3 linked regions of the Tamandua tetradactyla genome follow. The protein of the gene in region 2 purifies or fractionates together with the protein of the main gene of each other region. This does not show direct contact. Links are inferred from orthologs where the notes say so. Each region holds a gene or a part of one and is shown on either strand. Other genes may lie near its edges.

The links.
Region 1: the proteins of FOXO1 (region 2) and ATG7 purify together in Homo sapiens (affinity purification with western blotting; 4 studies listed by BioGRID). This does not show direct contact. The link is inferred for Tamandua tetradactyla from reciprocal best matches to the Homo sapiens genes FOXO1 and ATG7.
Region 3: the proteins of FOXO1 (region 2) and SIRT2 purify together in Homo sapiens (affinity purification with western blotting; 3 studies listed by BioGRID). This does not show direct contact. The link is inferred for Tamandua tetradactyla from reciprocal best matches to the Homo sapiens genes FOXO1 and SIRT2.

Annotation. Positions count from the first base shown.
Region 1 is NC_135335.1:37,669,252-37,676,586, forward strand, and holds the start of ATG7 (ubiquitin-like modifier-activating enzyme ATG7), read right to left. Parts: upstream 3,027-7,335; 5' UTR 2,935-3,026; intron 2,925-2,934; exon of another isoform or gene 2,431-2,924; intron 2,032-2,430; exon of another isoform or gene 1,540-2,031; intron 1-1,539. UniProt on the Homo sapiens protein: E1-like activating enzyme involved in the 2 ubiquitin-like systems required for cytoplasm to vacuole transport (Cvt) and autophagy.
Region 2 is NC_135330.1:99,398,061-99,405,659, reverse strand, and holds the start of FOXO1 (forkhead box protein O1), read right to left. Parts: upstream 3,099-7,599; 5' UTR 2,956-3,098; coding exon 2,380-2,955; intron 1-2,379. UniProt on the Homo sapiens protein: Transcription factor that is the main target of insulin signaling and regulates metabolic homeostasis in response to oxidative stress.
Region 3 is NC_135342.1:25,106,148-25,113,894, reverse strand, and holds the start of SIRT2 (NAD-dependent protein deacetylase sirtuin-2), read right to left. Parts: upstream 2,951-7,747; 5' UTR 2,720-2,950; coding exon of another isoform or gene 2,716-2,719; coding exon 2,482-2,715; intron 1,722-2,481; coding exon of another isoform or gene 1,675-1,721; intron 1,422-1,674; exon of another isoform or gene 1,266-1,421; intron 1-1,265. Other genes in the region: NFKBIB (NF-kappa-B inhibitor beta), read left to right, coding at 2,951-3,129. UniProt on the Homo sapiens protein: NAD-dependent protein deacetylase, which deacetylates internal lysines on histone and alpha-tubulin as well as many other proteins such as key transcription factors.

The sequences.
Region 1 (7,335 bases), on a different chromosome or scaffold from region 2:
CCTCCCGTAAGTTACCACACTGTAGTGTAATTGTTTTACCCCCAAATTGCTTTACTGTAATTCCTTGCTTGTCTTACCCTCAACTTATTAGTTTCTTAAAGACAAGGACCATAGCTTTTTTGTCATTGAATCCTGAAATAACTCTCAAATTCACCCACCCATCTCCATCCCTACAGCCACTGTCTTCTCAGGCCTGTCTTCTGTCATCTGGATTGCCATGACAGTGCTCTAATTGGTCACTCTGCCCTTCTTGCTCCATTAAAGGTCATCACCACATTTGGGTACTTTAAAAGACATCTTTGTTCAAAATTCTTCAGTGCCTCACTCCACATACCCCTAGTCTCATAGCTTTAAAAATTAAGACCGAAGTTCTTAGCATGTCATTCTAACTGTTTACCAAGTGTTTACTATCTACCAGTACCAAGCGGGCAACATGTATCATTTCATTCAATTCTTACAGCAACCCTGCAAAGTAGGTGTTTTAGTTTGCTAAAGCTGCCAAAATGCAAAATACACAAGAAACTGGTTGGCTTTTAAAAAGGGGATTTATTAAGTTACAAGTTTACAGTTCCAAGGCCATAAAAATGTCCAAACTAAGGCATCCATAAAAAGATACCTGACTGAAAAAAAGGCCAATGGCATTTGGGGTTTCTCTGTCATGTGGGAAGGCACATGGCAACATCTGCTGGCTTTCTTCCCTGGTTTCTAATTTCAAATGACTTCCCTGGGGGTCTTTTTATTTCTGTATCTCCAAACAGCTCTGTCTGCAAGCTCTGAGCTTTTTCCTAAATTGTTTCCTCTTAAAGGACTCCAGTAAGTGGATTAAGACCCACCTTGAATGGGTGGAGACGCATCTCCATGGAAACCACCTAATCAAAAGGTCCCACCCACAACTGGGTGGGTTATATCTCCATGGAAACAATCTAATCACAAGGTCCCATGCTAAAAATAGGCCTGTGCCCACAAGATTGGATTAAGAAAAGGAACATGGCTGGAGTAAATAACAGTTTCAAACCAGCACAGCAGGTAGTACATCTCCCCTTTTTATAGAGGAGGAAACTGATGCTTAAATAGAAAGTGATTTTCCCAAGGTGAGAAAACTAGTTTAGTGGTGATGGCCCTACGTGTAACCCAGGTATGTTAAATTCCAAAGCCTGTGCCCTTGACCATTATATGCTATTGCTCACAAGTCCCTTGTAATCTGGCTCCCATTTACCTTTTCACAGTTACCTCTTATTCCAGAACTCTACTTGCAAGTCAGGTACTCTCACCTACAGCCCTTTGCTCATGCCACTGCCAATATTTACAATATCATCCCACCTCTTTTCAACTGGCTAATTGCTACTCATTTTTTAGGACTTGGATAAATCATATCCTCACAGAAGCCTTCTCTGATGTCTCAGACTGACTTACAAGCACTTCTCAATTTTCCTCTAGCAAAGCTCCACAATAGCTTCATACTGTATTGCTATAATATATCTCTTTGAGTTGGAAAAAAAAAAAAAGTAAACTCCCTGAGGACAGGGATGTATATCTTACTCATTTTTGTACTTTCAGACTGTGGTATAGTGTCAGGTACACAGCAGAAGCTCAACATGTATTTTTGCTTATTTTCTATCAGGAGAAACCGGCTGAAAACAGAAAAGGGATCTTGAGGTTGACAAATAAAGAGCCCAGTACTCAGCTCCCCAAAACGGTTTCGAAATCATGTATATGAGTGGCAGGGAGGACTTGACCAAGAAAAGCAGAGGGGAAGGCAGCAAGAGCAGCAGGCTGTAGGTGAGATGACCTGCAAGAACAAAGTTGGGGGGGAAACAATCAGGCAATGTGAGCCTGCACAAATCTAGCCTTTTCACGAGCTCAAATATAAATCTACTCAGGGAAACCTTCTTGATAACTCTCAAATGTCTGTTTTATGTATTCATAAGCAACTATTTGTTGAGCCTCTATAATATGCTAGGCACTATTCTAAATGCTGGAGATAGAGCAATAACTAAACCCAGATTTCTGTCCTTGCAGAGCTTACTCTGGTAAATAAATAAAATGTACTTAGCCTAGAGGAGAAAAGGTGGGAAGAGGAAGACAGAAGTGCAGGGCAATTAAGTGGAAGGGGCAGTTAACTGAAAGGGCAAAGAGACTGAAGGAGGGATGAGATGATTACCAAGTAATAGCATACAGTTCAATATATGACTTTTAATGAGAGCTGGGGGAAGAAGAAACAGGAGAACCAAAAGTAGTGAGTTTTCTGTCACTGAAGAAAATTAATCCGTGGGCAGGGATGTCACATAAGAAATCTAAGTATACTATGGGATAAGGAAGGTAGGACTCAGAAGTCCCAACGTGTCACAAAAATGCCTGGTTTCAGTAACAGTGTTAAAGTTCGATTACACTTCTGTCAGTGGAATTTTCTTACGCCTGCATTTACCTTACCTGATTCCGGTTAAACATCAGAGTTTGCAAACCCTGCACCAAACCAGAAAAAATGCGCCTAGAGTTCTCTTAATTTAACTTCCTCATTGCACAAATGATGTATTGTATTCCCACTTGACAGATCAGAGTATCTCAGAAACGGGCGGGACGCGCCAGAGCCACACAACAAATCCAGGCAAAGACAACGAAAACCCAGGTGTCCTCCTAGCTATTGTTCCCAAATCAGAAATTCTGAGCACTCCCTGCAGAGGACAGGAGGAGTGCCTTAGACAATCAGCAGGAATTTCCAAATCAGAAGTCTCGAGGCTGTAAGAGCATGAGGGGACGTAGCTGGAAAAAGAGGGAAGACAGTCGGAGTGACTTCCCGGAGGCCCCCTCAGTTCGGGAGAGGAGTAGCCTGAGACGCGCTCCCGCCCCCACGGTCGAGCTCCCCTCTTCTCTACCGGCCTCCGGCACGACCCCGAAGGACCCCCACCACTCCATCGGCAGCAACCGCTCACTTACCGCCACTCAACTTCCGGCAACCGCAGCGTCGCCGCAGCGCGCGTCCCGATGACGCAATATAGTCCCGCCTCTGTCTTACCAGGAGGAGTAGTGCGCATGCACACAAACAGGCGCCGGCGAGCCTGGAGGAAATGCGACCTTACCGTCCAGCTGAGTGGAAGGGGCTTGGGTTCTGGAGAATATAGGGCGGGGGGAGTGGGCGAGGACCCTGGGGAGGGACGATCAGGACCCCTCCCTTTTCAGATGTGGAAATATGTATATGGTCTGTCATGCTTTTTAAAAAGTGCTCCACGTCCTCTTTTTATTTAAGAGAATAAGAATCATCATTGCCATTTTTCAAGAGAGGGAACTTCCGACATAACACGCGGATCATTAGGAAGGCAGGTGTGGAGAGATAGCAGAGGAAAATTTTAATAAGCAAAGGCCAGTGAAAACTGACAGTGACCAACCTCCTCCTTCTCAACACTCATGCTTTTCGTAGCTTACGATGTCAATGGGATTAAGTTATTCATTCTAAATTTATTTAGCACATTGTACAGTGCCAAGCATTGGACAAGTGTTGAAAATACAATAGTGAATATGATAAATTTCTTAATCTGGCATGTAATGCTGGCTCACAATGTAACCCTCATGCAGCTCTATAGACTTATAAGAGTAATGACGACTCTTTTTTTTATTATTATTGTTTTTCTTTTTGGATTACCTCTGTTTCACATTTCTAATCTTCACAGAGGTCTGGCCCCGGATGATGTCATATTATTCCCATATTACATGTGAGAGAACAGAGCCTGGGAAAAGTGGTTTGCTGAAGGTCAAAGAGTTAAAAAAAAAAAAAAAAAGGGAGAGGATTCTAACGGAAGCCTGTTTGTCTCTGGTGAAATGAAAAAATAAATCCAGATTTAGTAAGGAGAGACTTTATTCCAAGGATTGTTGCACGTGTTGGGAATGCTGCAATAGGAAGAGGGGCAGTACTGCAATAAGGAAAATGCTGTGAGCATGAGATCTGTAGGCATCTCAAGGGTTTTTTCTTTTATAGGGAGAAGTAAACAAGGCTATAAAGAATCTGGTGTGGCTAAGTAGGAAGAAAGGGTGGCTTGACCCAATACTAGATCAGAAGACGTTTTACCATGAGGCCAGCATATTCTCAGGAGAGGTTGTATGCTGGTTCAGGCTGAGGGTAAGTCAAACAAAGCTTGAGAACTGGGAAGGAAAAGAAGCTTATCCAAAGTTCGATTAACAGGCCTTTTGTTCCCATTGATCAGTAGGGACAGGAAGTTTGGCTAATCATTTATAAGACAAAGAATGGGAACTTGGAGGGTCTGTGTCTGGCCCTGTCATAGATAAACAAGGGAGGCATCTATGAATTTTATCTAAGTCATATGGAGAAGAGTGTTTCTTTGCAGAAAGCCATTTCCCAAACACAAAAGGGTGCCAGTGGGGAGGTTCTTAACCATTGCTGTTTTCCAGGAGGATTTTACAAGTAAAATTTAACATTTTCAACTCTTTCCACTGTGTCAGTCTCCTCTCCTGCCACTGACCCTCAGACTGCATGCTTGAGTCACTAAACTAATTCTGGTTTCCTGAACACACTCTGCTCCTTTTTATCTCCATGCTGTATTTGCCCTTACACTTCCTGTGTTTGTAGAACCCTTTCTGAATCTTCAAAACCCAGTTGAAATGTAGAAGAATATCACAGACAAGTCATATGAGAATATATGAGATTCTAAAATCAGCAAAACTCATCTATAGTGATACTGATCAAATCGAGTCATTGCCAGGGCAGTAGGGGTAGGGATTGTCTGCAAAAGGGCATGAGGAACTTTCTGAGGTAACAGAAATGTTTTATGTATCTTGATTGGGGTGGGAGTGAAATGGGTGTACATATTTGTCTAAACTTGTTGAATTCTACATTTTAAATGGTGCGTTTCATTGTCTGTTTTTGACTTTTTTTTTTTTTTTTTTTTCTTTGCATGGGCAGGCAACGGGACTCAAACCCAGGTCTCCAGCATGGCAGGTGAGAATTCTGCCACTGAGCCACCATTGTACCGCCCATCTTAGCTTTTTTTAAAACCCGGTTGGATGTCACGTCCTCTGTGAAGGCATGCCTGACACCCATCAAAGTAGGCTCCAAGAGTACTTAACTCTATTAAGCCTGTATGAGCCTTGGTTGAAGTTAGTTCTTTATAAGCTAGTCTTCCCTGCTGGATGTAGAGATTCTTATGATAATCATCTTTTGGAGTTTCTGCCCAGCTCGTAATGATTCCTCCTTCTCATGTGCTCCCCCTCCACACACACACACAGTTGATTAGAGCAGAGGTGGAGATGACAGTTCTTTACTCTGAGTTTTGGACTTTTAAACTAATGCTCATAGAGAATAGCAATAGTTCCTTTGGGTCAATGGCATCGTTACAGAGGGAATGTTCTCAAATTCTTACTTTTGAGGTTTCTGTGGTTGACTTGGCTCAAGCCCTGCCCAAGGCTAGGTCATTCAGAGCTTCATTCGAGTCCATAAATGTGATGGCTTAGAAGCTGTGTGTACCTCAGAAAAGATCATGTTCTTTTAATCCATTGTTGTGGGTATAGACCTATTGTAGGTGGGACCTTTAGATTATGTTATTTCAATTGAGATGTGATACTACCTCATTCAAGGTGGGTCTTGATCCTCTTACTGGAATCCTTTATAAAAAGATAAAAGACACAGAGACGACACAGAAAAAAAGACTCAAAAAAGCTAAGAGGAAAGAGTCAGAGAATCTTAAGAGGATGCACAGGAAAACAGAGAGAAATTACAGAAATGGAGAGGAAATCACTGAAGCCAGAAGCTGGAAGCAGTGAAAACCTGGAGAGAAGGGAGAGACCAGCAGACATCACCATGCGCCTTCCCATGTGAGAACCCAGGTTGCCAGCAGCCTTTTCTTCAGGAAGAAGTTATCTTCCTGATGGTACCCTGATTAGGGCATTTTCACAGTCTCAGAAGTGTACATTTATACATTAATAAATCCCCATTGTAAAAGCCAACCCATTTCTGGTATATTGCATTTCATCAGCTTTAGCAAACTAAAACAATAAAATGCACAAGTAAGCATTCATAAAGTTGGCTTCTGTTATTTGCAACCCTGAAGTAGCTCCATAGGGTTAGAACCATTTCTGTCTTATTCTCCTGTGTTTCTTAATGCCCAGATCGAGGCCTGGGCTAAGAAGTGCCTAAAAAGTATTTTTTAAAAGTAACAGATGGTGTCTGGGCATGAAAAATAGATGTGGGGACCAGAGTTGATGATAGCTGAGGTCACAAATTTGTCTTCCTTGTTAACAAGGAGTTAAGGTGGGGCTCAGAGCATAAGCTTCCCAGGACAGGTGGCTTTTGGTAAGCAGACCGCTGGCGCACTAAGACCAGGGAGCATCAAGGAAGCTGCAGGACCAGGAACCACAGAAAGGCAGAGAATGTCCTCAGACACAGCATGGCAAGGAGGTCTCGTGACACTTATTCAAGATTACTGCAATTCAGGCCAATCTACCTTCACCACTTGTCTTGCCGCTCAGTTACGGGGAGCACACACTCCCCAGAGTGAGAATCCTACGCCAAGCCAACCTACGTTTTGAGAACTGCGAGATTGTAGAATGACAAATGTCAACAAAGTAGATTTTAACAGCATTGTATCTTTATAGCACTTAGAGTGCCTAGCAGCCAGAACAGCTCCAGCATCTTTTTCACCCTTTGTTAAGACTATCAATAATCAACCTCTGGGAAGTCCACGCATTCCCATTTCCGAGAAGGAAACCAGTGATTATCTGAAAGCCAAATACCCAAATGACCAATTCCTCAAATTTGCAGACTGGTAAATTTTTCTGAATGCCAAAATTACCTGTGTTTAAGGTTCACAGTTGTCTCTATTGGATGAAGTGGCTTTGTAGGTTTTTCAAGATTTATGCAGTGTTGTAGATGACTGTTTTTCATGTTGTCTTCAGAGAAGTCCTTTAAAGAATTTTTATTTATCAGAAGCTGTGCCGGTGTGAATCTGTTGTGTACTCCAGAAAAGCCAAACTCTTTTTAATCCTCATTCAATATTGCTGGGTGGGACCTTTTTGATTGTTTCCAAGGAGATGTGATCCACCCAATTGTAGGTGGTAACCTTTGATTAGATGGTCTCCATGGAGATGCATCTCTACCCATTCAAGGTGGGGTTGCTTACTGGACCCTTTTAAGAGGGAACCATTTTGGAAAAGGCTTTAGAGCCACTAGAACCGACAGAGCCAACAGAACGGACAGAGCCCTGGGGAAGCCGTTGAGGAGCCTGGAGAGAAAGTTAGCAGGCATCGCCATGTGCTTTCCAGCTGAGAGAGAAACCCCAAACTTTGTTGGTCTTCTTGAACCAAGATATCTTTCCCTGGATGCCTTCAATT
Region 2 (7,599 bases):
AAGCGGCCAGTGCCAGCTCAGCTAAAGAACTCCACAGAAAAGAGAAGTTCTCGAGCTCTTCAACACCTTTCCAACAACTCTGTCCTATGCAAACGATCTTCGTCTCAGGCAGGGCCCAGAAAGCAGATCACAAGAGAGGGGACTTAATTAAAGATTCAGTCAATTCCCAGCAGTAAAGCACAGGAAATATTTAGTTCCAAAGGAGCCACTCTTCAGTACTGAAAGAGTAAAGTTTTGGTTGACTTGCATTTTAGAACTGGATTTTCTTTTCTTTAAAGCTAAAATTCTTACAGAAATTTCTCCCTTTTATGAGTCTCAGAGTTGCTCAGATCTGAGAGTGAAACCTGGTTTTAACAAGTAACTCATTTATATGAAAACCCAACCCAGTGGACTAGTTAAGAGTTAGAACAATTTAGGTTATTTTTTTCTTTTAAAAATGCCCTTTTACTCAAACTGAAAATCACTTGCAGAAATCTGACTTGCACCAACTCTGGCTACACCTGAAAACTTGACTCATTTGAAAATGATCAGCCACCACCTCCCAAAGCCCCCAGCCTCCCTCTGGGCTCTGCCACTGGGCTTCACATGCTGGAGAGAGAATTCTTTGCTCCACAACGTGGCTCCCAGCTCCAGTAAAAAAAAGGTAAGATAAAATTAGAATTGCATTTGAAAACAACATGAGAAGATCAGTAAAGAACAAATAAAAACTGTTGGGAGGTCAGGATGGCCCTCAAATGTCGGATTTAGGATTAAAAAAAAAACCTAAATCTTAAACGTTACATTCCAAATTTATCCAGAACTAATACCTCTAGAGAGGCAAAACACTGCCTTTCTCTATCTTTAAAGAAAGGCCCTCTAGCAAGCAAGCTAAAGGAGGTTGTATCCACCTCCAAGGTGGGTGGTGAAGCACACACTGTACTGTGAATACCAGGGAAAAAAGGTTTTTTAATTGGCAAATTTTTATAACAGCTCAAGTAGGATCAATAGGTGAGCAAGTAATTCAAGTACTTAAATTCAAACGTTAGGCTGGATTTTTTTTTACAGAGGATCCCGATTTTGTGATTTATCAGAACAGGAGCCGACGGTAAGGAGGCATTTACCATCGGAACACTTGGTAAAAGGGCATGCAATGCTTAGCAATGGGGTTTGGGACTAGCGATACCTTTACTCTAAACCACACCTTGGGAAAAAATAAAATAAGTCCTGGCTCCTTCCCAGTGCGTTGCGAGCAGCCTGACCCTGACCCTGGCGCACGGGAGCGACAGGGACGGCGGCGTCTTTGAAACAACTTGGGTGCGAGCAGCGCACCGCAGACGCGCGTCCTCGGGCCAGTGAGGCCGACACCAGGGAGGAGGGGTCTGGCCCAGCCCGACGGCCTTATTTACATCAAGCCCTCCACCTGGGACGCCGACAAACCGTCAGCCTCCATCCACACGGGCCCGCAGGAAATCCGCCCCGGAGCCCCCGGCTCGGAACTGCCCAGAGGGCCCCGGGGGCACTCCCGCGGCGCAAGCCTCCACCACCCCGGACGCGGGTCGCAAAGCCCCTCAGGCCCTGCCCCTGGATCCTGACTCCGCGCTCGCTGCCACAGCGGCGGCCTGCCGGGGCGAGGGAGTGCGGCCCCGGCCCCGGGCACCCTGGCCGCCCGGCGGGGCCCTCCGTGCTTAATTACAACCCTCGGACGTGGGCCAGGCCCTTTCGGGAACGATGCCCTGGTGGGAAGGGCCGGCCCCGCGCCCCGCCTGCCCGGGCACCTAGCCGCGCGCGGCCGGACGCGCTGGCCCTTTAAAGCCGCTCGTTTCCTGCGCCCGGGCCCTCGCGCCGCCAGCGCCCGCCCCCGCCGAGGGTCACACTTGAACTTCGGCTAGCCCCGCGCGGCCGCGCTCCCCGGCGGCGGCCGCCCCTCGGCACGTGGCGGAGGCGCTACCTGGGGCTTGGAGAGGCCCCTCCGAGAAATCAAAACAAAGCAGAATGCCCACGGCCTCCGGAAACCGCGCGCTGGCCCCACACCGACCCCGCCTGGCCCGGACCCCCGCCCGGCGCGGCGGAAACTGCTCCGCGGGACTGCCCCGAACCGCGGCTGGGGAGGCCGCCCTCACCCCGAACGCCGGGAGGGAAAGGCCAGCGGCTGGAGTCCGAGCGGGCCCTGGGCGCGCCGCGAAGTGGACCACTTCCCCGCGTCCGCTTCCCGGCGCACTTTTTCCACTCCCCTGCCCCCGGGCCAGCCCCTGCTCTCTCGTCCCCAACTCCCGCGCGCGCACCTACCCTGGCCCCGCGAGCCGCCCCCGGCCCGGCCAAGCCCGCCGCCCACCCCCAGCCCGACCTGCCCCCGTGCCGGCTCCTCCCAGGCTGGTTCAGCCGCGCGCCCGGGCCGCTCACCTTCCACCCCGCGGAGCTGTTGCTGTCGCCCTTGTCCTTGAAGTAGGGCACGCTCTTGACCATCCACTCGTAAATCTGAGACAGCGTGAGCCGTTTTTCCGCCGAGCTCTCGATGGCCTTGGTGATGAGGTCGGCGTAGGACAGGTTGCCCCACGCGTTGCGGCGGGAGGAGCTGCTTTTGCGCGGCTGCCCCGCGAGCGGCCCGGCAGCGGCTGGGGGCCCGGGCGGGGGCGGCAGTGGCCCGGGCGGGGGCGGCGGCGCCGGGCGCAGGCAGCTCGCCTCCGCGCCCTGGAAGTCCCCGCACAGCCCCCCGGGGCCCGCCGCCGAGCCGGGCGCCCGCGGGAAGTCCCCGCGCTCCTCCAACAGGCTCAGGCCGCGCATGAAGTCGGCGCTGGCCGCGGCCCCGGGCAGGCCGGACGCGGCGTCGGGGTTGGCGGCGCCCGACGGCGCGGGGCTCGAGGTGGCCGAGCTGCACTGGCCGAACTCCGGCCGCGGCAGCGGCCAAGTGCACGAGCGCGGCCGGGGCACCGGCTCGAAGTCCGGGTCGGTCTCCACCGCCGGCGGCGCTTCGGCCATGGTGACCCCCGCCCTCCCGGGCCGCGGTCGAGCGAGGAGGGGCGGCGAGCAGGAGCCGGGCCGAAGCCTAACGCAGACCCTGGCCCGCGGCTCCGGGGCCGCCGAGGCGCCGGTGCACTGCCCGCGGCCCGGCCCGCGCAGGAAGGTGGGCGCTTGCCGCTCCGCCGCGCTCCCGCCGCGCCGCTGCCGCCTGTTGAATGCGGCGACTCGGCGGCCCGGCGTCGGGCCCGCGCCCCCGCCCCGCTGCGCGCGCGCGCCCGGCCCGACTGACAGCACGCGCGGCCAATGGGCGCATGGCGCCGCCTCCCGGGCAGCCATTGGGCGAGGGCCGGGGCGGGGCCGGGGCGGGGCCCGGGCGGGCCACCTCCCCCGGGCGGGGGCGCGGGGTGTTTTTCTCGGCCCCCCGCTCCCTTCTGGGCTTCTGGCTTTTGAGAGCTGTTACGATTTTGTGGGTAATTCTCGAGACTTGCCGTGCGTCTCTATCCGTCTCGGTCTTCCGATTCCTGGGAGGCAAACCAGCGTGGCGGCGGCGTCGCTCTGCCGGCTGCGACTTGAGAAGCCTGGCGGGGGGCGCGGGGGCGGGGGCGGCGGCGGCCACACTGCCGGGCCCTCCAGCTCCACCGCAGCTCATCTGTCAAGTCGTTCGGCCCGCAGGGACTGCACGGTCTGCGCCCAGAGCCCCGAGCAGAGCCCACCTGTCCCCGCCCAGGGCCCCGAGCAGAGCCCACCTGTCCCCGCCCAGAGCCCCGAGCAGAGCCCATCTGTCCCCGCCCAGAGCCCACCTGCCTGCCCCCAGAGTCTCAAGGAGAGCCCACCTGTCCCCGCCCAGAGCCCTGACCAGAGCCCACCTGTCCCCGCCCAGAGCCCCGAGCAGAGCCCACCTGTCGCCGCCCAGAACACCGAGTAGAGCCCACCTGTCCCCGAGCAGAGCCCACCTGCCTGCCCCCAGAGTCTCAAGGAGAGCCCACCTGTCTCCTCCCAGAGCCCCGAGTAGAGCCCACCTGTCCGCCCCCAGAGCCCCGAACAGAGCCCATCCGTCCCGGCCCAGAGCCCCGAGCAGAGCCCACCTGTCCCTGAGCAGAGCCCTCCTGTCCGCCCCCAGAGCCTCAAGGAGAGCCCACCTGTCCCCGCCCAGAGCCCCGAGTAGAGCCCACCTGTCCGCCCCAAGAGCCTCGGGCAGAGCCTACTAATCCGCGCTCAGAGCAGAGCCCACCCCCTCCGCCCCAAGAACCCACCCGTTGGTGTCGGAGGAAAGACTGCAACTCGGTCGAACCCGGATCACTCCAACTTGACCTGAAGAACTGCAAAGGAGAAAGGGGGCTCGGCGCGCAGAGAGAGCTCAATTTCACGCACAAACAGATCCAAATGCACCTAGACCTATTACTCTCCGTGGGAACCTCTCTCTGGGTGGGCGAAGAGGTCAGAGGAGAGCATTTAGCAAGAAGCTTATTACTTTACTCCTGGCTCCCAATTAAATTCAGCTATTTGAACGTTCTTTTCTGTATGGAAATGAGGTGCTGAGGTGCACAGGAGCAGAGCACAAGGAGAGAGCGGGCCAACGCCGCAGGGCGCGGTCCTGCCCAGACCCGGCTTGGCTTAGGCCGCCGCAACCCGCAGCCCACGTTTCCCCAGCTGAGTTCCAGGGCCAGCACGTCCAGGTAGGAAGACAAAGGCCCCTGTGTCTCAGAGAGTAGGAGAAACAGTTTTCTCTTCAAGTTGTTTGTTTGTTTGCTTTGCTTTTTCTTTTTTAGGAAGAATATGGAAGACATTTCCTTTAGAGGGATGGGCTCACTTAGAATGGAAGATAGCAGAGTTAAAAATATCTTGTCCAAAATGCTATGTTTTTTTAAATCCCCTCTTTCTTATAGACAATTCCTAAATTGAAAAAGTGACCTGTAAAATCACACTGCATTTACAGAAATTGAAAGGATTTGGAGAGGCATAAGTGACGCTATTCCTTCCTTTATATTCTCACCTATCATCCCTGTAGTCCAAACCCTTTTATTTCTTCTTGATCCACTTACTAGGACATCTTGACTGTGGGCGGAGGTCAGCTGGCTGGAATGGGAATGGGGATGGGGTGGGGGCCTCCTCTTCTGTGCTCTTATACTCACTATTGAGTTTGACCAGTCACTAGGGGCCTCGTAACCCAGACAGTGGGGTCAAACCCAGGCAGGCTGGAGCTGCAGCCTGTCCTGCTTCGGGCAGCCCTGCTCAGCCCCCCTGCTGGAGAGCTGCCCTGGGGGATCCTTCTCTGCAGAGGAAGCCAGTGGCCATTGTGGCCTGCCTGGAAGGAGGGACTCTGCACTTTCCCCAGATCCTTGAAATCTGCTTGGCGGTCTTTCCTAATAATATTTTTTTCTTTAAATGTCCTAGGACATTTGGTCTTTTTGAAAAACTTGACTTGAAGCAGGCGCAGAGAACCTTCAAGAACCTATGTTCCAGAAACATAGTTCCAAAAAAAATAAAAATATATCTTAAAAGGTTTCATTCTTTTTTATAGCTGCCTCCTATTGTGGTATGTTTTGATATTCTGAGGCCCTTCTTGGTGAACTTGTTTCCAATCATTAGCTGTCACACAGGCCATAAGCCTCTTGTCCAACCGTAATTTGAATCTCTGCACAGAGAGCTGAGGACGGATCTTCCAAAGTGAGATTGCAGGACTGGCCGATAAATTTGGGAGGAATGCCGTAACCCTGCATCAGGATTGTATCAAGTTAAATTTTATTTTCTGATGGACTCATAATGTTAAGGTTGAAAGTAATCTTAGAGGTCATCTTGGTGGTCCCCCTTCATTTATAGATAGGGAAACCGAGGCACAGAGAGGCTAAATTATTTGAATTATTGATATAGATCACAATGAAAGAGCGGTGGTGCTGAGGCTAAAGCCCCACTTCCTGCTTTCCCGTCTCTATACACCAGATTCCTGTACTTCTGTACAAGGTGAGGGAATTTTTAAGTAATTCCTATTTTTCTTTCTTTCTTTTTTTTTTTTTTTTGCTTAATAGCAGTAACACATGCTGATTATAGCTGATTCAGAAAACTCCACATGCTGATTATAGCTGATTCAGAAAACTCCACAAAAGTATAAAGAAGAAAGGTATAAATATCCTATAATTCCAATTCAGAGATAACCATTGTCACTTTGTGGTATATTTCCTTCCAGTTAAACCACAGAATCTTAGTAATTTTGGCTACATGAACTCCACTGAACTGAATACAGGTTTGATTTAAAGATCAAGAAAGCAGACACAAAAACATGATAGTAAGATAATGAAAGAAAAAAGTTACAAAAGAGGTGTTTTTGTTTTTTAAGTGAAAAATGTAAACATTATCTCTCTCTACAAGAGACTGAAGTATTTAAGTTGCATTAATTCTGTTTAAGGACAAAAGAGTTTTCTCTGTCCGTATTTTTTGTGGTTGCTGTTGGCTTTGAAGGCTCTTCTCAATGATGATCACGTATTAGTGCATGTGGCCAAATTGGGAAGAAATACTTGGTGTCATGCAAGGGCAATTAAAATGAAACAGAAATTTACTCTCCCAAAGTTCACTTGAGCATCAAACGTGATGTCCTTTGCTGGGCCTGATTTTCAGGGTGACTTGTTGCATCATCTCTGCAGCAAGGCTGAGGGATCTGTCATTTTGATCAATTCCCAGATGGAAACTTCTGCATTCACTGCATCCCAATCTCTGGTTTAGATTCTTATTTGTCCAAATAAGTAATTTAGGTCCAATTTAATGAGTAAGTGAAAAGCTTGAATGCTTATTTTTCAGTCATGGCACTTAGCTTCCACATTTCCTTTCCCGAACTTGTCCATTTCCACTATATTTTTCTGAATTATTAGAGGATACTGTTACGAACCTAAAGAAGCCTCAGTTGGCCTATAGAAAGCAATAACCTGAACAAACACAGCCCGGGGGCCTGAAGCCAACACCCTGAAAGCTGGCTTACTGGCAGCTACAGGACTGTCAGCAGTAGGCATTCATTTTCTTGAGGGATTTTGGATTTTGTCATCAATTCCACCAAGATTTACAGGGCACTACTGTGTGCCAGCTGTTCAGGTGGTAAATTCCTCGGGTTCACAATGGTTTGTTTTCCTTGATGTCGGTGTTAAGAATACAGAGCTCTTTAATGATCAATAATGCATGTTGATTATTTATTTGAAGGAATGACACACAAAAACGTTTGATGGATATTAGGAATGAATGCTAAGGCAGAAAGGATCAAAACATTATCATAGTCACCATTTCAGAGAGAAATGAGATAAGGTGGAAAAGTCAAATTAACGTACCATCCACAGGCTTGGGGACATCAAGCCCTGGCAAAAGAGCTTCACGGTTGGAATGATCTTATTCCAAATGGACAAAAGTGGGCTATAAGAGAACAGGCTACAGGAGGGGTGGGGTGGGTGGAGATTGGGGAATTACTGCTTAATGGCTACAGAGTTTCTGTTTGAGGTGATCAAAAAGCTTGGTAAGGGATGGTGGTGTTGGTGGCACAACAGAGGGAATTTATGTCTATGTTGTATATATGTTAACATAATTTTTTTCAGTGGACTCTACAGAGACTGCATCAGATTGTTTGTCCATCACAGATAGACTCTGCCTGCCTACTACTCCTAACAGGGGGGAAAGTTACAAACC
Region 3 (7,747 bases), on a different chromosome or scaffold from region 2:
CTTCTAATATGAATTGCTCCAGATTTTTTCTCTGTAAATAAAACCTCATTATCTCTACTTTTCTGATATGAGGATAGCACCTTCTTTGGAATGAGAAATCTCCTAATTGCTCAGAACATGTCCCCCTCAACTAATGCCCACCTGTTCAATGACGACCCTACTTGTGCAGGACTGGTTACCTGGGCAGTTGTGAATATCCAGAAGTTCTGCCGATCAGTGTCTCTAGTCTTACCCCGTTAAAAAAATTCATAAGACTTGACCCCTTTCCCCCTCAAATGAATGTATTGGTGGTTAAAAACAAAACAAAAAAACAAAAACCTAATTATCTTCACAGAAATGGGTCCCACCCAGGCAGGCTGCTGCACTCTGCAGTTTTTCACAGAATTAACTCCTGCAGACCCACCTCGTTGGGTTAAGCAGCCATATAGGATTGCATTGTGTGGGTGTGCCAGCCTTCACTTAACCCATCCACTGACAGCCCTTTGGGCCATGTCCAGTTTTGCCCTATTCTAGACAACACTGCAATTTACATCCTTGTGTCTCTCTCTCTGGCACTGAGGGTCCCTTCTTAATAGTAAACCTTTTTCTCTGAGCCACAAGTGACAGTAGCCACACTCTGGAGCTAGGCGATGGAGAAACCCTGGCTTGACAGGAAGCTCTTCTACCCTCACTATCCCTCTGTTGGGCCTTCGTGAGGAACTGTGACACGGCCTCTGCACCGACCTACATCTGAAAAGCATTGGTAGCAGGCTGGGCTCCTTCAGGCTGTAGACAATGAGGCTCTGTGGGAGGATGGCAGGCCCTGTCCAGCTCGTGGGGCAGCCCTGCCTGCAGAGGAGGTGGAGGTGCTGGCTGACGCCCATAAGCTTCTGGAAGGCTGCCCTGACCACCTCCTGCTTAGCACCTATGAGGCAGGGGGCCGGGTGTCTTAGGTTTGGCGTCCCTATTCCTCTAGCCAAGGGATAGGGGACAAGTCGCTTTAACAACTCTCCCTCAAAATGGCAATGACAGGCCTTCCCCCCACAGGGATGTTGGGAAGATTAAATAAGACGATGTACCCAAAACACTAAGCAGAATATCTGCGACAGAGTAAGTACCCAATAAAAAAAATTTTTTTTTTTTTTTTACCATTCCCAGCCATCAAGCTACCCAATACTTTTCTGCCTCCAGGCTTTCCCTCTGCCTGGAACACCATTTCTCATCTTGTCCAGGAAAATTCCAAGTCACTCCTCACTTATTATATTGTGTCGATAACTCAGTCTTACCTAGATCCGTCTGTGGATTTCTCCAAGGAGGGGCCTGGGTGGTTTCTTCTGTGACCCCACAAAGTATATTCTGGCCCCCACAGCACCCTGAGCTACCTCCACAGTCACCCTGGAGGGTTGGTTTCTATCAGGGACCAAATCCCATGCTTGTCTCTTCTGGGCCCAGCACGAATGAGGTTCAGAAGGATTGGTGGGGAGGGGACAGAAAAGAGGTAAGCTTGGAAGGGCAGGCCTGGGACTGAGGCAGTATACCCTTCTTTGGCAGGCCCCACAATCTACCATCCCCCAGGACGCTGCACCTTGGGGTGGGACGAGGGATTGGGGCAGTGAGCTGAGAGCCTAGTGTGGGATAGTGGGAACAAATCCATCTCTCTCCTTCCCTCCAGTCCACCCTTTCCCCCCATCTCACCTGAGCCTCCTGCACCTTCCCTGTCTGGGTCTCCAGAGGGTCAGAGGCTGGGGGAGGAGGGGGAGCAGACGTGGTTACAGTGGAGGGAATGGTTAAGGTGGAATGAAAGGGTTCAAAGTGGGAGTGGGGGCTAGGAAGACCTAATTATACTAGTGAGGGGAGTGGTAAAAACCGAATAGAGGTAGGGAAGGGAAAAGCAGATCTTAAGGAGAAGCTGGAGAGGGGAAGGGTTTGGAGGAGAGAGAGGAGAAAGGAAGGGATAAAGGGTTTGGAGGAAGTCTCAGGAGTAGTTAGGAAAGCATAATAGTGTGTGTAGGGGCAGAGGGAAGTTTAGAAAGGAGGAGAGGAGATAGGAAGGGATACCCTGCTGGGAGCCGGGTTTGGAAGAGGAGGTGCCGGGATAGGGATGGGTGGTTGGTGGCAAGTTAAGGAGAGGCACAGGTACTTGAGGCAAGAGATAGAAGGGGACACCAGGGGATCCCCTGGCATCCTACAACCAGGTACCCTTAGCAACCAGGACGGCGGCAACCCACGTCCTTAGTAACGAGGGTCTTTAGCAACCGAAGTGCGAGAAACATGCGATTATTAGCAATTTGGGGCACTAGGCAAATGGGCCCTTAAAACTCTCGCGACCCAGACACTCATTAATCAAACACCACGGATCACTTAGCAACGGCCCCTCAAATCCCACTGCCCCCACGCTGCCCGATCTCCTGCCCCACCGCGCCTGCTCTCGGGCCCCGGGGCCTGCAGCCTGCTGTCAGGCCCCGACGCGGCCCGATCCTCCCACCCGGGCCCCTGACTCACGGTCCGGCTCGGCCATGGGCGCGGGACCGGGGCCCTCGGGGCTGTCACCGACCTCTCTGCCCCGTGACGGCACCGGAAACGGGAGGGGCAGTGAGGAGGCAAAGGACTACAACTCCCAGAAGCCACGACCACCGCATACGAGTGATTAGCACAACGCCGCGAGCGTTTCTCTTCGGATAAGGGAGATGAGAGGGCCGGACTACAAGTTCCAGAGGGCCTGGCGTCGGCAGCCATGTTGGTAAAGGGCGCCCGGAAAATGTGGGAATGGGTCGAAAGCTGTAGTACAATAGGACGTTCTGATTGGTCTTGGAGCGGAATGGGGCGGGGAGAGAGAGCTTTGACCCACTCTGATTGGGCAAAGTAGGGGGAGTGTTGGGGAATTCCCCGCAGGGCGGAAGGGTTAGGATCCAGGCAGAGCCCAGCAGTAGCCTGGCTGGGTGCCGCGGGGGACTCCGGAGGCTGCGGGGCTATGGCCGGGGTCGCGTGCCTGGGGAAAGCTGCAGACGCGGATGAGTGGTGTGACAGTGGTCTGGGCTCACTGGGCCCGGACGCAGCAGCCCCCGGAGGACCAGGGTTGGGTCCGGAGTTGGGCCCGGGGCTGTCGTGGGCTCCCCTCGTCTTCGGCTACGTCACTGAAGATGGGGACACGTGAGTGAATCTTAGACTCCCAAGTCTAGCCCAAAGATCAGTTTAACCTGATTCTCCTATGGTGTCTGATCCCGGCTCCCTAACCTCTTACCACTAAATCTGACCTCTAAGCCTTGACTTCCTGACCTCTAACCCCCAAGTCCTAACCTTTGATAACATCAATCTCTTACTCAACTTTGATTCTAACACATTTCTGACTCTCCTTTCTTGAATCTGATTCTCAGCTCCTGGAATCCACATCCCTTCCCATTGATCTGAAAACCGGATTTGAACGTTTTGACTCCAGTCCTGAGACGTTTGTTAGAACTCTGACTCCAGCTCCTCCTGATCTCCAACCTCCAAGATGATCTTTGATCCTTAGCTGGTGACTTATGAGCCTTATACTTTGATTTCTGAAAGTAATATTTGGCCTCTGTTTCTAAGATCCTGCCTTCTGAGCACTAATTTCAAATCTTACATTTAAAGAGAGAATATAGGGTCCCTGAGAACACGGATTCATCCCTTCAACAATTATTCATTGAACTGTTTGTTTTAGGCGCTGGAGTTAAAACAATGAAGACAATAGACAGATATATGACCTTGTGGAACATACATTCTAGTAGGGGTAGACAAATGGACAGAAGGAAAGACAGAAAGGAGAGAAAGAAAGACAGGAAGTAAGAGGCAGAGAGAGAAAAAGAAAGAGAGAGAGAGAGAGAGAGAGAAATGAAACAAATAGCAGGGAAGAAGAGCATTCCAGCAGAAGGAACCACAAGGGAGTGTACCTAGGGATTTTTGTCTGTTACATTTATTGCTTCCCCAGTGACCCAAACAATGCCTGATACTTGGTGGGCACTTCATAAATATTGATCTTATCAAAGAATCAGCTCTTGGTTTCATTAATTTTCTCTATTGTTTTAATGCTCTTTTGTTGATTTCTGTTCTCATTATTATTATTCTATTGGCTTACTTTGGATTTAATCAGCTCTTTTTCTAGTTTCTTAAAATATAAGCTGAGGCCATTGATTTGAGACTTTTCTTCTTTGCTATTATGGGCATATAACACTATATATTTCCTCCTATGTATTGCTTTAGCAAGATCTCACAAATTCTGATATGTTGTGTTCTCATTTTTATTCAATATTCTTTCTAGTTTCTCTTGATATCCTCTTTCACCCATGGATTATTTAAAAGTATGCCATTTCGTTTCCAAACATTTGGGAGATTTTCCAGCTATCTTTCTCATTTTTATTCAATATTCTTTCTAGTTTCTCTTGATATCCTCTTTCACCCATGGATTATTTAAAAGTATGTCATTTCGTTTCCAAACATTTGGGAGATTTTCCAGCTATCTTTCTCTTGAGTTTTTTTAATTCCATGTAGGCAGAGAATATATTTAGCATGAATTAAATCCTTTAAAATTTGTTGAGACTCAGAATGGCCCAGAATATGGTCTAGCTTGGTAATTGTTGTGTATGCACTTGAGAAGAATGTGTACATTGTGTTGTTACTGGGTGAAGTGTTCTCTAAATGTCAGTTAGGCCAAATTGGTTTATAGGGTTGTTGAAGTCGACTAATCCTTGCTAGTTTTCTGTCCACTCAGTCTACCAGTTATAGAGAGAGGAATATTGAATCCCCAAGTATAATTGGGCCTTTGTCTATTTCTTCTTTTAGTTTTCTCAGTTTTTGCTTTGTGTATTTTGAAGTTCTGTTATTAGGGGAACAAAGATTTAGATTGTTAAGTCTTCTTGTCTAATTGACCCCTTTACCATTATAAAATTACCTTCTTTAGCCTTGTAATAGTCTCTGCTTTGAAATCTACTTTGATATTAAATATTTATTTCAACTTTCTTTTGACTAGTGTAGCATGGAATATCTTTTTCATCATTTTATTTTTAACTTATTTGTGTCTTTATATTTAAAGGGCATTTCTTGTAGGCAACATATAGTTGGGTTTTGCTTTTTTATTCAATCTGACAATTCTGCCTTTTAATTAAGGTGTTTAAACACTTTAAATTTAATGTAAACTGTTGATATGGTTATGTTCAAATTGATCATCTTTCTGTTTCGTCCCACCGGTTCTATGTTTCCTGTTCCCTCTTTTTTCTGCTTTCTTCTGGAATACCTGAGTATTTTGTAACTCAACTTTATTTCCTTTGTTGGCTTTTTAGCTATAACTTTTTGTTGTTGTTGTTGTTATTTTAGTGGTTGCTTTAAGGCAGGGGATGCCATACTATGACCCGTAAGCAAAATCCAGCCAGCCTCCTGTATGGCTGTAAGCTAAGAATGGTTTTTACATTTTTTGTTGTTGTTTTCTGTTTTGTTTTTTTGGCATGGGCAAGCACCGGGAATCGGACCTGGGTTTCAGCATGGCAGGCAAGAACTCTGCCACTGCACCAGCATGGCCTGCCTGTTTTTCACATTTTTAAATGGCTAAAAAATATTCAGATATTTTGTGACGAGTGAAAATGATATGAAATTCAAATTTCAGTGTCTATCAATAAAGTTTTATTGGAACATAGCCATGCTCACTGATTTACATTTTATTTATAGCTGCCTTTGTGTCACAACAGCAGAGTTGAATAGTCAGGATAGAGACCATGTGGTTCAGAGAGCCTCAAATATTTGCTATCTGGACCGTTACAGAAAGTTTGCTGGGCAGGCCACGGTGGCTTAGCAGGCAGAGTTCTCGCCTGCCATGCCGGAGACCCAGGTTTGATTCCCTGTGCCTGCCCATGTCAAAAAAGGGAAAAAAAAGTTTGCCGACCCAGCCTTAGGGTTTATAGTATTCAAACCTAATTTATGATTTACCTTTGAGTGATATTATGCCATTTCATGCATAGTAAAGGCAACTTTCAGGAGTATATTTCCATTTTCTCTCTCCTGACAATTATATGTTTGTTGTCATACATTTTATTTATGCACACGTACTTATGCATACAAACAGAATGTCTTATATTCTTATTGTAGCGTAATAAAAACTTGGCTGGCGTTTGTCTCAAATTCCTGAGGAGGTACCCTGTGACTGTTTGGAATTTCCTGTGATAGGAACACCTTTTACTATTGATGATGGGCCCAGGACCATACCTGATAGATAGTCCATGTGCTAATGAGATGCCAGGGTGGGGCCAGCCACACCTGCAGTCTCAGGTAGAGGGACTGACACCAGAAAGCCAGCCATGTGAGTGGGGGATCAGGGCTTTGAGCCACATCGTATCAGCCCATATCAGCCTACTTCCCTGCCCTCTGGGAACCGAGGAGGGCTGCAGGTTGAGTTCAACCACATGGACATTGATTCTATCAATCATCTCTATATAATGAGACCCCATATGAATTCAAAACACTCAAAGCCATGAAGAGCTTCCGAGATTTTAAGACCTCACTGTGCCGGCAGGGCTATGTGTTCTGCCTCTGTATGGAGAGGACACGGAAGCCTTCATTTGAGACCCTCCCAGACCTCCCTCTGTACACCTCTTCTTTTGGCTTCTTCTTATTTGTATCCTTTTACAATTATAAATCTACAGTTGTGAATATAGCACTTTTTAGTAAATTAGGTGGGTCATTCTAGTGAATTATGAAACCTGAAGTCATGGTGGGAACCTCCAGATTTGTAGCCAGTTGGTCAGGAGTGTGGGTGGCCTGGGCCCTGGAACCTGCAACTGGTTCCTGAAGGGCCATCCGGAGGGTGGCACTGACCCTGTGGAGCCTGGCCTGACTCTGGGCAGAGTCAGAGTTGAATTGATTGAGCTACTGCAGTATTTGCAGTTGGGTATGAGAACAGTTTTCGTGAAACTTATACACTTACCCAGGTAGTTCCTGTTTTGAGTGCTCTTGTCTTTCCTTTGTGTAGATCCATATTTCCATTTGATATCATTTTCCTTTAACCATTTCTTGTATTATGGGTCTGCTGGGGATTTTTTTCTCCCCATTTTTTGTGTGTCTGAGAAGTCTTTATTTTGCCCTTGATTTTTTTTAATGTGTCTCCAGTCTCCCTACATATATCATAGGGAATTTTCTTCACAATTTTTTTTGGGGGGGAGGGGTGGTGCATGAACTGGGAATCAAACCTGGGTCTCCCATATGTTGGGCGAGAATTCTGTCACTGAACCACCGTGCATCCTTGCCCTTGATTTTGAAAGAGTTTCACTGGATAAAGAATTCCAGGTTAACAGTCTTTTTCTTTCAGTAGTTTAAAGAGATTGCTGCACTGTCTTCTCTCTTGCATTATTTCCTACGTAAACTTCTGTCCTCCATATCTTCTTCTGTACTTAAGATGCCATTTTTTTCTTCTGGCTGCCTTTGAGATTTTGTCTTTATCACTGGTTTAAAAAAATGTGATTTTAACACACCTTGATGTAGTTTTCTTCATGTTTCTTGTGCTTGGAGTCCACTGAACATCTTGGATCTGTGGATTCTTGGTTTTCATGAAATTTGAACTATTTTTTGGCCATTATTTCTTCAGATTTTTTTTTCTGTCTCTTCCTACTGTAGGGACTTCAGTTACAACTAGCCACTTGAAATTGTCCCTTAGCTCATTGATCCTCTTTTTATTTTTTTGGATTATTTTTCTCTGTATTTCATTCTAGATCATTTCTGTTGTTTGTCTTCTTTTTCCTGTAAAGTCTAATCCATTGTCAAT